Linked DNA regions of Danio rerio. The protein of the gene in region 2 purifies or fractionates together with the protein of the main gene of each other region. This does not show direct contact. Links are inferred from orthologs where the notes say so. Each region holds a gene or a part of one and is shown on either strand. Other genes may lie near its edges. The genes, in order: scap and insig1.

The links.
Region 1: the proteins of insig1 (region 2) and scap purify together in Homo sapiens (affinity purification with western blotting; 11 studies listed by BioGRID and IntAct, with this or other methods). This does not show direct contact. The link is inferred for Danio rerio from reciprocal best matches to the Homo sapiens genes INSIG1 and SCAP.

The regions. Positions count from the first base shown.
Region 1 is NC_133191.1:45,514,043-45,522,485, reverse strand, and holds part of scap (sterol regulatory element-binding protein cleavage-activating protein), read right to left. Parts: intron 8,357-8,443; coding exon 8,155-8,356; intron 8,064-8,154; coding exon 7,948-8,063; intron 6,110-7,947; coding exon 5,614-6,109; intron 4,131-5,613; coding exon 4,045-4,130; intron 3,951-4,044; coding exon 3,868-3,950; intron 3,428-3,867; coding exon 3,261-3,427; intron 2,940-3,260; coding exon 2,859-2,939; intron 1,112-2,858; coding exon 905-1,111; intron 492-904; coding exon 246-491; 3' UTR 1-245. UniProt on the Homo sapiens protein: Escort protein required for cholesterol as well as lipid homeostasis.
Region 2 is NC_133182.1:41,358,329-41,367,476, reverse strand, and holds the start of insig1 (insulin-induced gene 1 protein), read left to right. Parts: upstream 1-4,705; 5' UTR 4,706-4,864; intron 4,865-5,029; 5' UTR 5,030-5,035; coding exon 5,036-5,369; intron 5,370-5,982; coding exon 5,983-6,107; intron 6,108-6,722; exon of another isoform or gene 6,723-6,906; coding exon 6,907-7,073; exon of another isoform or gene 7,074-7,290; coding exon 7,291-7,390; intron 7,391-9,148. UniProt on the Homo sapiens protein: Oxysterol-binding protein that mediates feedback control of cholesterol synthesis by controlling both endoplasmic reticulum to Golgi transport of SCAP and degradation of HMGCR.

The DNA.
Region 1 (8,443 bases), on a different chromosome or scaffold from region 2:
GTTCTAGCAAAAAGTAAAAAAAGTGTTCAGGCCTGATGAACGACAAGAGAAGAAGATTTCCATCCGGCTCAGATGTGCTAGAACTCGTCCGCTTTCTCCCTACTCAGTGTAGGGTGCACAATAAGAGGACATGTAAACGCCATTCATGTGTGCAGTGACCCAGCGGTGATGCTCTTTAAAGGGTGAGTGCTTGGGTTGCCAGCCGCTCTGCGAATCTGCAGGCTGCTGTTCATGTGTGTTTGTGCTCAGTCCAGCTTCTCCAGAACAGAGGGCACATAGACCAGACTGAGCTCGCTACCAAAGTCACAGATGATGGCGGCGTTGTCCAAAACCAGGAGCTGCCGGACGCTCTGACCTTCACTGCTCGGCCCCAGGTACACCGTCTGCAGCAGGTCCCCATAGTTCAGGTCCCAAAATGACACGCAGCCTTGTCCTCCGGTCACCAGCAGATTTTCAGAAATCACCCCCAGACTGGCCCCACATCCCACCTCCTGAAACACGAGAATATCTGTGTAAAATGCTCATTTTGTTGAATGATTCACACGGTCTTAAAAGGATAGTTCACAAAAAATTAATATTCGGTTGACATTTACTCACCCTTTATTTGTTTCAACACTGTTTGAGAAGATAATGATGATGTATTTTTATTTACAACAATGCTGTTTTCCAACACTGTTTCAGTTTCTTTCTTCTGTGTAACACAAATTACGATACTTTGAAAAGTGTTTGAATCCTGTAACCATAGACTTCCATAGTGTTTGTTTTTCCTATTATGAAAGTTCCTTTTATGAAAGTTTTCTTCAAAAGTGTTCGACAGAAGGCAGAAACTCGGTTGAAAACATTTGCGGGTGAGTAAATAGTGATTTTTGTGTGAACTATCCCTTTAACTCTTCCAATCACGCACCTGTTGTATTGAGTACAGCTTAATGCCTGTGCTTCGGTCCCAAATGCAAATGAGGTCATCCAAACCGCTGCTAATGATGCAGGATGTTGTGCAAACCAGTGAGGTGACATCACCACGATGACCGTACACGTGGCTCACCCGGCTGCCTGTTAGGACATCCCACACGCAGATGGCTCCATCTTGGCCTCCACTGGCTAGAACCATAGTCTATAACAAAGCACAGAAGGACATTAGTGTTGGAGAGAATAGGTAACACTTTATTTTAGTGCTCCTGAATCATGTGCTTACTATTGTAATAACAGAAAGTTAAATGATTTAACCCACCTATCCATCCATTCATTCATCCATCAATTAATATACATCGTTTCCATTTAAAGTCTAATGTAAAATGGCATGACTGTTCCCTGAATTTTACTGACTAAAAATTTTTTCCATGACTTATGATGAAAAAAAAGTCAGAAGTTGTCTTGAGTAGATCTTCAGGTAAAAAAAACAATACTACTAAGATGTGTGATTTTGTGTATGTTTTCAAAACAACACAACAAATGTCGTAAATATTGCCACAAATTTGGAGAATAGTCCTATTAGGCTGCAAAAATCAAAACTTAATTTTGTTAAATCTAGGAGGGACTGGTTGAGCACTGAGCAGACAAAATTTAGCCAGTGACAGTATTTTAACAGGTTCAGCCTGGTGACTGTATAATTGCCAGTTGCCAAGTGAGAAAAGGAATAAAATTTAAGTGAAAAATATATATATATATTTATATTTATATTTAAGTAAAATTTTAAATGACAAACTCTTGATTTCCCTGTTATGACATGACCTGGACCAAACAAATATAAAATCCCCTGACTTTCAATAGGTCTGGAATAAACCTTATAAAATGTCATCATTATGGGAACCCTGAATATAGATATCTTATCTATCAATCAACATATCCACCCAATATTATATACTTCCATCCATCAAAATATGCATTTATGCACCCATACATGTATGTATCCTCCATGTGTTCATTCATGTATCCAACAACAATACATCCATGTATTCACTAGGCATGGGATAATAACTAGTTTCAAGGTTTACTGTGGTTTTGGAAAAGTCAACGTTTTAAAACCTAAATGTTAAATGTTCCTGTAATACCGTTCCTACAGTATATGAAATTGAATAAAATTTTTTAACTTTTTAATTCAATTCATCTTTATTTGCATAGTGCTTTTACAATGTAGATAGTGTCAAAGCAGGCTTACATAGAAGATTAAAGTGAACTGAAATGGTGTCATTTTAGTTTTTAGAGTTTAAGTGTAGTTCAGTTTAGCTCAGTTCAGTGTGTTTTAATATTCACTGTTGAGAGTCCAAACACTGAAGAGCAAATCCATCGGTGCGCAGCTCTACAAGTCCCGAACTATGCAAGCCAGTGGTGACAGTGGTGAGGAAAAAAAACTTCACAAATTGGGAAAAGTAAAGGATAAAGAAGTCGATTTTAGAAGGCAATGATTTATTTTTGTTATTTAGTCTGACATGTTTACTGTTCCAAACTATTTTAAATGTTTCTTAAAATAAAATATATTGACAAAAAGTTGTTGTGTTTTTACCCAGACATTTAAAATAAACTAAAAATAAAATAAATGAAAATAAAAATTGTATTTTAAAGCAGTGATCACAATACCATGATACTGTGAAACCGTGATATTTTTATCCAAGGTTATCATACCATCAGAATCTTATAACAGCTCATACCTAGTATTCACCCCTGTATCCAACCATGTATGCACCATTGTCACCATCTATCTATCCATTCACTCATATTTCCACATACCAACCACACATTAATTTATTTGTCCATTCATTGTCAATCAATCAACCAATCAACCAACCAACCAATCAATCAATTAATCAATCATTGCAGTACTGCACAAGCATGCAAGTGTGATATAGTGGTGTGCTTCTGACCTGGTCTATGTAGATGGCGGTTATACCACCTGAGTGGCCCTGCAGGGTGAAGAGGCAACAAGAATCCTCCAAACGATACACCTAAAAAGGAATTAAAATTAGAATTATTGTAAAAAGCGCTATGCAAATAAACTTGAATTGAAATGAACTGAATTAGATTAAATAAAAAGTAGGCATGCGTTAACTGTAGGAATCAGAATCTGTGCCTACATAAAGCGTTAGCACCTAATATTTTAGGTAAACTTTATTATATAAGTGTTGCTTCCTTTGCTTTTCAGATTATCAAGCTATTGTAATAAATATATATATATATATATATATATATATATATATATATATATATATATATATATATATATATATATATATGTGTGTGTGTGTGTTATATATAAATGATCTTACCCTGACTGTATGGTCCTGGCTGCCGGTGACCACTCTGCCAGCAGCAGCTTTCAGCACAGTGATGGGTTTCTGATGGGCACACTGTACTGAGCGAGTGAGATGACAGCTGATTACATCCTCGCTGCTGTAACAGGGGGACGGTGGTAGACTACCTCGGCCTGGTGGTCCTGATGCAAAAATATATATCAGGTAAACTATTTTTTACATTTCCATGCCTTCTGATCTAATATATTTCCAGAAATTTACCAGTTCTTTTTTTAACATTGGGTCTGGAGTTCTAAAAACTATTTCCCTGAAATCACACATGCCGCAAAGAAAACTACAATAATAAAACTTTACCCAGACTTGATATATTTTTAATTCGCTTAAAATCTTTAATAATATCATGGTTTGTACGTACAATGAAATTCGAGGAGTTGAAGGATTTTTTTTAAAGTGCTATTTAGAGCATTTAGTGAACTGTCAAAAAATTACTTAAGTCAATGAGTATACATCACATTTCAATTTTCATTACATTTCCTGACACTACATTCCCTGATATTTGCAGGGTTTTTAAAAACAGAAGTGTTTTAATGTTCTTTGCCGAATACTTAAAGACATGCCTCACCTCGATATTGCAGCAACCCGAGTGGCTTGTTGATCTCCACTGTGAAAAAATCCAGTGAGCCATTTAATCGGGCTGCAACAATTCTGCAAAAGAAAACATCACTGTTAGCAGAAGAATGCAAGCTGGTGTGAAACTGGTGTGGCTTAGGCATGCAATTCATATTGCTGTGAAATGCACCTGTTGTTAAGAAAAGCCAAGGCTGTAATTCCAGAAACTCCATCTTCATTACTGCACCGTAAAGATCCCTCTACTGCATCCCACAGCTGGTAGAACAGAAAATAAAGAAGGTAAGTTAAAAACCCTAGCTATGAGCCCATCCAAAGTTCTGAATTTACATTATGCTTAAAAATAGAAATATTTATAAAGTGCAGTTTACATTTTCATGGGTTCAACAGAAGGAAAGTTAAGAAAACGAAGAAACTAGAATGATAAATGTCTTAAATGTCATTTCTTTATTAAAAAAATAAATAGGCTTTTCATTGATGTATACGTTGTTAGGATAGATCAATATCTGACAGAGAAACAACTATCAGAGAATCTGAGGTTTCAAAACATCAAAAACATGCAAATACTGACAAAACTGCCTTTAAAAGTTGTTTAAATTAAGTAATGAAAATAAATTAAAAATGAAATAAAAGTTAAAAACATATATTATATTATTTTATATATATTAAGTTTTTAGTTACGATACTCCTAATCATTCCAAATAAATCTTATTTTTTTTACTAAATTCTCAGCAGAAATAGCACACAATGTCCGCAGATTATGTCTGGCCCTAGTAACGAGTTTTGATACATTTACAGACCGAAATTTACTAAATATATAAAATGGAACACAATTTTTATTTAATACTCAAATATGTTTTTTTGCATGAAAGAAAAATTTATAATTTGAACCCATTAAATGCATTTTTGTCGTTTGCCAAAATCACCATAAGGTGGTGTGTTCCAGGGCAGGGTCACATATGAATAATATATATTTTTTTATCTTTTTTTCCTCTTTACACTTCAGTTCCACCTCAGACCAGTAGATAGCAAACCAGTTTACTGGTTAATCTAGTTATACAATCACATTATCTGTTGAGGAAAAATCCTAAGATGGTTTTGATGTGCATCAAGGAATTTATTCAGAAAATGTGTTTCCATCAAGTTCATGAACATAATATCTTTTAATCTGATTCAAAATGTACACCCAGTTGAGCACATTATTAGTATTTATGGGGATATTTGTACTTAAAAACGCTGTTTTTTATAAGAATCCTAAAATGTACATACAATTTTCAGCACATTTTTAAACAAAATAGTTTAATAACTGATTTATTTTGTCTTAGCCATGTTGACAGTACATATTATTTTACTAGACATCAAGATGCTGGTATTCAGCTTAAAGTTAAATTTAAAGGCTTAAAACTGACATTTAAAGGCTAGGTTGATAAGGCAAGTTAGGGTAATTAGGCAACTCATTGTATAACGATGGTTTGTTCTGTAGACTATCAAAAAACAAATATTGCTTAAGGGGGGCTAATAATATTGACCTTAAAATGGTTTTAAAAAAAATTCAACTGGTTTTATTCAAGCTGAAATAAAACAAATAAGACTTTCTCCAGAAGAAAAGATATTACAGGAAATACTTTTAAAAATTCCTTGCTCTGTTAAATATCATTTGGAAAATATTTGAAAAAGAAAAAATTATATTGGCTTTAACTTTAGGTATTTACGGTTAAAAAACATCACATCTTTCCCTCACCTCCAATTTTCCAGTGCTGCGGCCCGTAGCAATGAGGTTCCCCCTGAGCTCCATGGCCCACACTGAGCTGTCCCAGTCTGCACTGCTCTGTGGAGGGAGCTCAGGAGGCAGGACCGGCTGATCCCCGAGGCTGCGGCGTCTCTGCTGTGAGGCTGGAGGAGACGGAGGGAAGACCAACACTGGAGAGGGCTCATGCTCCTGGTACGCTTTCTCCACCAAACTCCCAAAGTCAAAGCCAGAGCCGCTCAGGGCCTGAGATGGAGGCAGCGCCCCGAAGTTGGTGTCGATGAGAGGCGTGAGGTCTGGTTGGTCTCCAAACAGTGCAGGACGAGCAGGGGTGGTCCTCCTCCTTATAGCGAAAATATCTACATCTGGGCCTCCCATCGCTCCTCCTGGTTCTCGAAAGTCTGTAGCTATTCCCTCTACTTCAAAAGCACTGATGTGATCCCAGCCATCACGGTGCTCCCAACAACCGTTGCTGCTGCTCCTGCGCAGGCTAACAGAGGACACAAGCATGTTAAAATACACAATACAGTAGTGGTCAAGGTGATTTTTTTTTTTTTATTATTGTGTAAGTTGAATTAAACCAGCAAGATATGATAAACAAGATACATTGGGAAGAGGAAAACACTAAACTTGTGTATGGTATTTAAATGAGAAAATGGTTTATGACAAAATATGGGTTTTATTTTACCATGCCAAAAAAGCATGGAAAGACTAACACACAATGAATACTGTATGATCAGTTAATCAGCATCTCATTGCTTGTTCTGCACATATTTTAAAAATGTTCCCACTTTAAATCCATGCAATTTGTTTTAGCATAACTTAAAAATAACTCTTTAAAACTTTAATAAACTAAATGTATGCACAAAAGACTGTAATAATATTAGTTATGAATAGACTATTGGTAAAAGTTTTATTGAGATGTATTATTAAAGATTGGATGTGTGATAGATCAATGGGTAGCTTTAGATTAAAAGAAAATCGGCACACTGCCACTTAACTGTAGCTCTCAAAAAATGTTTTAATGTCATGTTTCGAACTACATGGTCTTCATCAGGTGACCATCTCAATTTTTTTGAGAGGTAAAGTGGCAGTGCGTCGATTTTCTTTTGTTACGGTGTTTGTTTTTGATCGAGCACCAGCCTTTGAGATTCCTAGATGTGCGCACATTTCTTTTTCAACTGGGTAGCTTTGCATAAACAAAGGAAAACTAAGACCCATTTAAAATGTTTTTTTAAATGTAAGACATTTTAAGACTTTGCGCTGTAATAATAAAAAAAATCAACATCACAGGTAATATTATAGCAATATTTTAGTCACAGTAATATTTAAAAGAAAACATTTTATTGTAGCAATACTTCAATAAAAAAAAAAAAATATATATATATATATACATATATATATTTTTTAACGTTTTTTTATTTTATTTTATAAGAAAGTAAGTAGAGACAAGAATTCATGGGGAGCAGAGAGAGGGGTAGAATCGGAAAGGAATCAATCTCTGTAAGCATCTCAGTGCTATGTCGATGCACTAACCACTAACCACATCGACCATTTAAAAATGTTTACAATTTATATTATCATGTTTTTTTGTAATATTATCAAATAAATCCAGGACTAGTGGAAATAACAATTTTTAAAACAGTTAAAATGAATGTAAAATATAGTATTTTCCAGTGACGCAGTGGCGCAGTAGGTAGTGCTGTCACCTCACAGCAAGAAGGTCACTGGTTCGAGCCTCTGTGTTTCTGTGTGGAGTTTGCATGTTCTCTCTGCGTTTGCTTGGGTTTCCTCCGGGTGCTCTGGTTTCCCCCACAGTCCAAAGACATGCGGTACAGGTGAATTGGGTAGGCTAAATTGTCCGTAGTGTATGAGTGTTTGTGTGTGAGAATGAGTGTGTGTGGATGTTTCCCAGAGATGGGTTGCGGCTGGAAAGGCATGCGCTGCATAAGTTGGTGGTTCATTCCACTGTGGCGACCCCAGATTAATATAGGGACTAAGCCGAAAAGAAAATGAATGAATGAATGTAATATTTTATTAATTGTCTATATGCACATTTATTATTATATATGTAAAAAAAACTTTATTTTATATGTACATCATTAAAAATGCTGGGTTCCACAAAATCGATTTGTGTTGGGACAACATAAAAATGATCAGTTAACTTATTCGATTTTACGAATTAAAAAGGGTTGAACATAAAATAATTAAGTTGCCCCCCCCAAAAATATTTTAAACAAGCAGATTACAGTAAATATAATTTTTTGAGTGTACATTAATTGAACATTAAGCAGTCTGTCTATTTATTATAGTTATACATTTCCTTACCCTTTGTTGGGTATAACAGTGAGACAGTCTCCAGTCTGTGCGTCCCATACACGGATCTGTCCTGCCAGGCAACAGCTGGCCAGCAGCATGCCATCACTGGCCAGACACTCAATGTCCTGAAGAGAGGTGCCAAAAGATCTTTTAAATATCTCAAGACTGTATTTATGGAAAAATAAATTCAATCCTGCATGACTCCAGTCAACGTACCATACTGTGACCTCTCAGCAGCAGAGGGGAAATTTCACTGATGGGGGGTGAATATCCGTACTCATCGCAGGGCAGGTCTCCACGACGACGACGGCCATGGGGCACACCGTTCTGCCCATAGTTTCGAGGGCAGAGCACACGATACAGACAGAAGAGTAAGAGCACCAGCAAAACACCAGCGAAAAGCCCAAGAGCTGCCACTCTGCACAAACACACACACATTATAAAGCATAAGAGACTTGTAGTGATACAATGAAATTAGCTTGGTGGCTCGAAGTGACCTTTAGCA
Region 2 (9,148 bases):
ATTGATGAAGCAGATATTTGTATGTGTAATTTGTCATGGATTTATTTAAGTATAAGCCAGTCCTGGGACAAAGACTTCCCCAGTCTCAGAAGGTTTCTCACTTCCGTATATGCATAAGATTGTACAGAGTTTTTTCAACTGCTGCTGCCTTTGGCACTATTCTTTGTAAAGCTGCTTTGGAACAATGTGTATTGAGAAAAGCTTTAGAAAAAGAAACCAAACTGAATGGAAAAATTTAATTAGATCCGGCATTTAACAGGGATCAAAGAATGGATCCTCAGTACCTGCCATTGTAGCACAGTATATGAGACACGTATCTGGGTTAAGGCCAGAGATACTGCTTGTGCTTGATTAACAGTCAACACAACTGTTATGTACATATCCGCTATGTATATGTTGTTTTTGTACCTGCGTATCTATGATCATGTTAGCACAGTTATGCAATCACGTCCTCACATGAACGATAAGACATGTTGAGCATGCTGCCTTTAAGCCTATAGATGTAGAGGATACTACCGTCAACTGCGTCAGTTGTTTCAATATTTCACCACTCACAATAATAATCAATAGGTTTTTACTACAACAATGACAGCCTCTGGATCCAAACATGGCCAAGGTTTATATTTAAAAAGAAGTAAAAAAATAATCAGAATGGGCTTTGTCATTGACCTTGAGAAGGTGTTTGTGTTTTTGATTTTACTCATAATTGTTTTTTTTTAAAGGTATAAACTTTAAAACTGTGACGGGTAACATATTTTTCATGTGCTACATCACAGGTGTCAATTCGAATTCCTGGAGGGCCTTAGCTCTTTACAGTTTAGTTCCAACCCTGCCTCAACCCACTTACCTGTAGGTCTCAAACAAGCCTAAAGAACTTAATTAGTTTGATTAGGTGTGTTTAAATAGGGTTGAAACTAAACTGTGCAGAGCTCTGGCCCTCCAGGAACTAGAATTGACACCTGTGTGCTACATACATTCTTAGGCTAAGTGCTGGTCACACAAACTATCAGCCTAATTTTAAACCCCACAATGACTGAGACTATGACCAATTCAAGACTCGTTGCAACAAACCTTTTTATTCATTCATTCATTCAATTTCTTTTCGACTTAATCCCTTTATTAATCTGAGGTCGCTAGAGTGGAATGAACCACCAACTTATCCAGCATGTTTTATGCAGCAGATGCACTTCCAGCCACAACCCATCACTGGGAAACTTCCATACACACTCATTCATTCACACACACTCAGACACTACGGTCAATTTTAGCTTACCCAATTCACCTGTACTAAATGACTTTGGACTTGTGGGATAAAACGGAGCATCCAGAGAAAACTCACGCGAACACAGGGAAACATGCAAACTCCACACAGAAATGCCAAGTGACCCAGCTGAGGCTGGAACCAGCGACCTTCTTGTTATGAGGTGAACATACTACCCCCTGCTCCACTGCAAACTTGTTAATAAAAATACTCAATTGTACTGAGGATTTTTTTACTGCTGGATGCCAAACCGTAAATAATAAACATGTCTAATAATTAAGACTTTAGTCGCACAATATAAGAGGCATGATGTTGATCTTCCTAAATTTTAGTTTTTAAAGGGCACCTATTTTACACCCTTCACAAGATGTAAGACAAGCCTTTGGTGTCTCCAAAATGTGTCTGTAAAGTTTCAGCTCAAAATACCCATCTGATTATTTATTAAAGGTTCAGGAAACCCTCGAGCACTTTTTTTTTGTTGTTGAGGTTTTTAAAGATTTGTTGATCATCAAAAAAAAAACAAATGTAGCAGGGCATTATATTACTGTTTATTTCTTTGCATTTTAACTTTGGAAACCTTAAAATCATGGATCTCCTCAAGGTTTGTGTCTCATTTTGTGTTGCCAACTGACAACAGTTCCCCTCCTTCTCCCCTGCTCTGCTGGCCACACCCACTCCTGCCTCTGCTCAAGGAGCTCCACACCCATTATGATGCTTTTTTTTAAATTTCTGAGGTAGACTTAAACCGTAAGTGGGGGGGTTCATGGCCCTTTAAAGCCTCCAGAATTTGCCCATTTTTGGTGTCTAAATACAGTGTAGCTGTTTTTGTAGCCTGTGGCTTTAAATGCAAATGAGCTTCTTCTCTCTGCCCACCTTCCCATGTGTGTGTCTGCTTCTGATCATGCGGTATGTCAGATAAACAGCACAGCGACAGAGACAGACTTGAATAAAGCTGAAATACAGTTATTCATCAAAAATACCAAGTTTATTTCATGTATTTGTGGTGGAGTTTTTTCAAGCCTTCCTGAAATTATGAATCTCACACAAATGCTGTTTGCAGTACACACACACACACACACACACACACACATTATGTTTACTGACACGATACAGTCGTGGTGAATATAGTGGTTAAGAATTGGATAGCATTTTACTGTCTTAATTCCAAACATGCTGTTTTAAAAAAGTTTTAAACTTATAAAAATCACTGAAAGTTGTAACAGATATTTTACTCCCAATTTATTTGCAAAACTCTCAGACTGCTTTTGAACATTCCAACATGTGCGTACTTATAGTCTGCAGGAACCTTAGGTCTTAAACAGACTTCAGTATTATGACATAATTCCAGCTGAAACAGAGTATTAGAGAAAAGGGTTTCACTTCAGCGCTTTACTTTATTAGCCGATTATTAAGAATATTGTGATTTCCAAAGAAGCGTCTTTCCAGAGCAGAAGCTAATGGAGTGGAGATAGACACGTTTACATGGAAATCAGTAATCAAATTATTTCTGAATATGGCAATATTATGATTAAGGTGTTTATGAGTAGCTTTTTGAATGTTCCTTTCATGATCCTGTTTTACATGTTATAGCACAAAATTCGATTATAACGTCATCACGCTATCCACATTTCCACATTTCCTCCGGAGTAATGTAATTTGATGTAATTTCGGGTGTTTCATTTTTAATTTGTTGACTTCAACTACAGTTTGACTCTTTCACTTTCATTCAGGAACATTTCATTCATGCCCCCTGTGACAAACAAGATATTGGATGAGATTAACAGCTGGAAGAGTGTTGTTTTAATATAATTTGATATCGCAGTTTGCCATCTTAATTAACATAAACAAAGAACACTGATCGCTTACCAAAACTAGACAGGACAATCAACATCAACTAGAACCGCGTTTTTTTTAAAAGAAGGAAAGCGGCAAATCTGGATTTCACCATTTCCAGATGTGAAAAGCTCATCTGGTAAAAAAAACACTGACGATCCATATCTCCAAACAATTCTTCTTCTACTACTTGTTTTAATTATGGTTGGTCATCTGGGCACTGTAACAGGTAAAAACCGTCTTTGAACTATATCATGCATATTAATGAAGTTGCACCTCATTCACAGTAGAGCGCGCTGATTGGTTCGAACCAAGTCTTTGTAATGAATTTATGCTGAAAACTCAGACATCATGTTGTACCGGTTCAGACATCCAGTCTCCATGCTGGAATTTACACTATGATCTCATGGCCGTAACGCAGCTTCAAAATTTCTTTTTAAATCTGAAGAATGAATTGGCTCAAATATTGCAAAACCCACCAATTTTCACTTTTTTGTGAAATATATGTGTCCTAATAGTGTTTTAGCAACGTGAGTCATATTTATGATTGTCAACATCTCAAAAAAATGTGTTTTGGTGTTTCGTGACTCGTTAACATCCACAGCACGTTTCCATTGCACATAAGTTTCTCTGTTGAAAAAAGGTTCATTAATGTGTTTAGGATGTCTTTCACACCAATAAAATAATGCTTCTTTTCTGAACTTTCATCAACACAAAAGCTTTTTAGATATCAAAAATGGTTATTTTCTAGCACTGCAACGAAAAGCCCATTTTGGAACCTTTATTGTAAAAACAGCAGCTAAAGAGTTGTTGACAGTCATTCTTGACAAGGGGCAAACATCAGACTCATTTATCTGGTGAGGAGTGGTTCCACTGAGGTAAGAGACTGAACTCTGTTCTGCTCTGAATCAATAAACTATAAGTACACAAGTTTATTTACAGTGGGGGAACAGCCCACTGAGCATCATGACCTGATTTCTTGTTTTCAGTCTCACGGACACGTACTGCACGCTGTCACGTATAGCCAACAAATCCGCATTATCTCATACACTTTCAGGGCCTGTTCACTCATAGTGAACTAAAAAAAAGTTCATATCAGCAAAAAGCTTTCTTGTCTGTACCCTGAAAAGATTACAAATACATTTACCCAACAAGTAGTTTGTTTTGTGCAAACAGGAGAACAGCAATATTGAACACTGAGAAAATCTCGAATCAGTGCTGTATTGCTTAGTTACTGAAAAGGATTTAGCAAAGCAAGGTCATTAAACTTAACCAATCTAGAAGTTTAAGACTTTTCTGCATGACTCTGGCATAGCGTCAACACACACACACACACACACACACACACACACACACACACACACACACACACACACACACACACACACACGCACACGCACACACGCACACGCACACACGCACACGCACACACACACACACACACACACACACAAGGCGAACAGCTGATGGCGAACATCAACAGCGCGTGTCTGTCAGAGAGGGGTGGCGCGCGTTCGCGTCATATGGCCCGCCGCACTCTGATTGGCTAGAGAGACTCACCAGACATGACCGCGCTTGTTTTCTGCAGAGGAAGCGCGCGTGTGGCAGTGTTCAACTGAGGGATGAAAAGAGGCAGCAGTATTTCTCTTACAGATGATGTGATCAAACAACACATCTAAACTATTTGTAGGTAGCCTTTCGTTTTTGTAAAAGAGTTTTGAAAGCACAGACGTGTTCTGCTTTAGACGAAGACATCGCTAAAAGATCAAGGTGGGTAGCCTATTCATTCCCTTTACTTCCACTTCATACTCATTGGGAACAGATTGTTTTTTGGGCTACAGCACTGCTTTTTGTAGCGTAATACTTGACTTTCAACATTATTTTATTTGATCAAGTTAGTGATAATTATTAATGAGTATTACTGTTTTCCAACAGTGCCAAATGCCAAGACTAGAGGAACATTGTTGGAGCTGCTCCTGTTCGACCAGTGTGAAGACGAAGGACCTGTCAAGCGCCGGCTGGATTGTCTGTAAAACGGGTGAAATGATGTCCATCATAACCTCAGTGCTGAGCCACGCGTACGGCTCTCTGCACAGCCTCCAGTCCGCCAATTTAATTCGACGGGGGCTTGTGTTGTTTATCGTGGGAGTTGTGCTCGCTTTGGTGTTAAACTTGCTACAGATCCAGAGAAACGTTACATTGTTTCCAGAGGAAGTGCTGGACACGCTATTTTCGTCCGCCTGGTGGATTCCCCTCTGCTGTGGCACCGCTGCTGGTGAGTCTGTCTGAAACACTTGGGCTCGAATGCTTTGTTCGTGACGATAACAAACAAAGACGGTGTGCTTGCTGAGGGCTTTTTGTTATCGTGTCTTTTATGTAAGATGAGTGATTCGGGGACAGTTTTGTTGACATTGGGCTTTGTAGCTATCAGTAAGCGCTGCCCTGGTAACAGCCGGGCATTTGGGGTCATTCTTGGGGTGCTGCATTCTCATTGGCTGCGCTCAGAACGGGTGAGCTGCGAGAGAGGCACGCCATTGGCTGGTACGCCGAACATGCCACTTACCCGAAAAGAGAAACACGGAAGTCGTGTGCAGCAGAAATTAATAAATAATTCGGTCACGCTCGACTCCTCCCCCTGCATTCCTCATAGTGGTGATGTGGACGCGTATCAGTTTACATCCTTTTCAGTAGAAAATGCCTTTTAAAGAGTTTTGTTGTACTTGAACTCTTCTTATGAGATTTATTTAAACACAAAAGTCATCACCCATTATTTATATACTAAAAGGCGTCAAACAATACCAAGCAGATGTAAAAAATGTTTTTTTCTTCTTCTTTTTTCCCCCTTTCAATGAATGTTGTTTAAAGTACTTTCTGTTTTCTCTTCTCAGCTGTGGTTGGTCTGTTGTACCCCTGCTTGGACCACCATCTTGGAGAACCACACAAGTTCAAGCGGGAGTGGGCAAGCGTGATGCGCTGCATTGCTGTCTTTGTGGGCATCAATCACGCCAGTGCTGTATCCTTAACAGTGACACTTTTACAGTTGCAACCATTGTGGACAATGAAAACTTCCAAACCTTTTTGAGATTTTTGTTTTAAGTCTGTAATAAGCCATGTTACTATTCAATAGCATTAGACAAATCCTTTTTTTTCTTAATCTCTTAACTGTCACATATTTATTTGTTTTTGTCTGAACCTGAATTTATCTTGACAAATTATACATCAAAGGCTAAACTAAAAAAGTGGGGTGACCCGTTAAAGTACTAAACATATTTACACAGCAATAATCTATGCAACGAGAATTATGCTTATCTAATATTTTTAAAAAGTCTTATGTATTGAGGATAGTTGTAATAACGCTGAAAAATGACTAGAAATGCTCAGTACTCTGACCCGGCCAGAAGTTGAAAACTCTGCACACGATATCATTTAACCTTTTTTAAGTTTTGTTTTGACGACTCTGAGTCTGTGTTTTTGGGTAAATGAACAGCAAAAATGCATAAAAGTTTTTATTTTTTGTTGTCATGTAAATATACCTTAAAACTTTACATTAACTCTGAACTCAAACAGTAACATGCACTTCATTGCCAAGAAACCCCATGTAAATGAGAACTGGGTTTTTTAAGAACTAAAAAAAAAAGTTTTTAATAAATTTGACTACAAAGTTTTTGTGGAACCTGTTTACTGCTCTCCAAATGTGTGGACCAGCAAAAACTTGGGAACCTGCACAAACTCAATTCTTGAGTTAACATCACAATGTTTTCAAAATGTATGTTAACATAAGAATATTTTGCTTAACTCAAAGTACCTTACAGAAACTGGACTTTGCTAACAATGTGCAGCTATCGCTAACTCTGGCTGCCCTGTCTCTGGGTCTGTGGTGGACATTTGACCGCTCCAGGAGTGGCTTTGGTTTAGGGCTGACCACTGCCCTGCTGGCCACTCTCATTGCTCAGCTGCTGGTCTACAACGGCATCTACCAGTAAGTTATGACTCAAACATGTTGACAAACAGCAACAGAAAACTGTTTTCATATCAACTAGCAAGTAACTAACACTCTCACATATTCATAATTTTAGTCGTAGAACATGTTTTTTTTGTAAGAAACATTAGCAAATATTATATCAAGTGCAAACACTCAGTTTTGTTTTTCCTTTAAGCAGCTCGTCATTTCAGTCCTTTTCTTCATTTGTTACCAGGTATACTTCTCCAGACTTCTTGTATGTCCGTTCATGGCTGCCTTGTATATTCTTCTCTGGCGGAGTGACTGTTGGAAATATTGGCAGACAACTAGCTATGGTAAGAAACTGCCCCTCATACCAGCCCCCTTTTCCAGTCTTTCATATTCCACAGAATAACTGATGTACTTGATTACTCATGTATTGTGGTTAGTTTCCTCTTGTGTTATGCACAAAGCCAATGGCCACTTTTGTTTAGCTTAAAATAAATAAATGGCAGAAATGAAACTTAGCTTTAGCTAAAGCAAAAGTGAAACTCAATATCTTGGCTCATCAGCTATTCAGCTGTTCCTCTTCTACTTGTATCCAGCCTGCGTGTTTTAGGAAGTAAATCAAACTTGGAGCCAGAATATTTAACTCAACAATTTCAATGTGTACAATTTAGCATGCAGCCGTAAGCTCTGTTCAGACAGGATTATTTTCTAAATGACATTAAAAGACAGTCATTAAAACAGGACTTGTGGCTTTCATAAACTGATTCCAATTAGGTTGGGAATCAAGTTTAACATTAGCAAAAGGAAGTGTAAAGATGGCTTGGGTTATTGTATTTGATGAAGGTAAAACTATCTAGATGTGAACAAACTAGGTAGCTGAAAAGTGGCAGGCAGTTTGTATTGTAATATTCATTTATACTTATAAAAATAAGCTAACTAAGTTTTAAATCTGCCTTAAATAAATGAAAACTAGGATTTAGGATTTTTGTGCATTCTCTTAAATATGTATAAACTATTTTCAGTATCCAATGTATTTCTTTAAAGCAACCAGTTTACCATTTTAGTGTTCTTTTGACACCCTCTAGCGCCTGAGCAGAAACGTCATGCTTGGACATCTTAATTAGCTTGTTTGTGCCATCCCCTCCAAGCCTTCTCAGTCAGCTGTGGCTCTTTGTCTTGCTGACATACCCTAGTTCTTTCTCAATAAGGGCGTGAAAGAAGATTACGCTCCTTGTTTTTCATGCTAATGGTCAGAGAGATGGTAAACAAAGTGCTTTACTGGCTCCAAGTGGTGCATTCTACACGTTGTTACTGGATGCTTTTTGTTTTCGAGCTGGCATCGGCTGATTTTGCTTGACCAATTGGGATTAGTGCTCTGCTAGTATTTTTCCCAGCTTTCTTTATGGAGGGGCCAGTTAAGAGATAGAGTTGATTAAAAAAACTAGAGGTAAATAAATCTAGTAAACCCGGACGTTTGCGTTTGTTAATCTTTTCATGTAAATAATGGCTGTATTTTAGAATACAACTATGATCATCAATTATGGTCACTCTACATAGTTTGGTTTAACATCTGACTAATTAAATAGTTCGATATCTAGTTTACACCATTAACACCTTTACCTTTTTATCATCGTCATTTCGTTGTGTACTGTAGGTGCACTGGAATCATTTAGAGAACATTGCCTGTATATGAAACGTTGTCATTTTTATTTCAACATTAGCTTTCCTAAAGACGGATTCAGCTGCCCTTGGGTGAGGCATGGCAGACAGTGCTGACCTACGAGGGGCTATCAAATTTTACAAGGCTGCCCATCCACATATAATCCTAACATATACAAAGCCCATTTCTTATATATAGTGCATACTAATTATGGCCACAGTGTTGAGAGGCCAAGTGGGTTTAACGGGATCAGGCTCAGCTTCATGAAAACCAATTTTGAGTTGCTCAAAGCACATTTTTAAAAGCACACCTGGGAACATGCTGGAACATATTTAGGTAGTTTGAAAGTCAGCCAAGTGCTCTGACTAATACATAATAATATAGTCAGGATAGTTTCTGCATATTAATGCTGCTTTTTGGTTGTATTGTACGCTGGTGTAGTTTA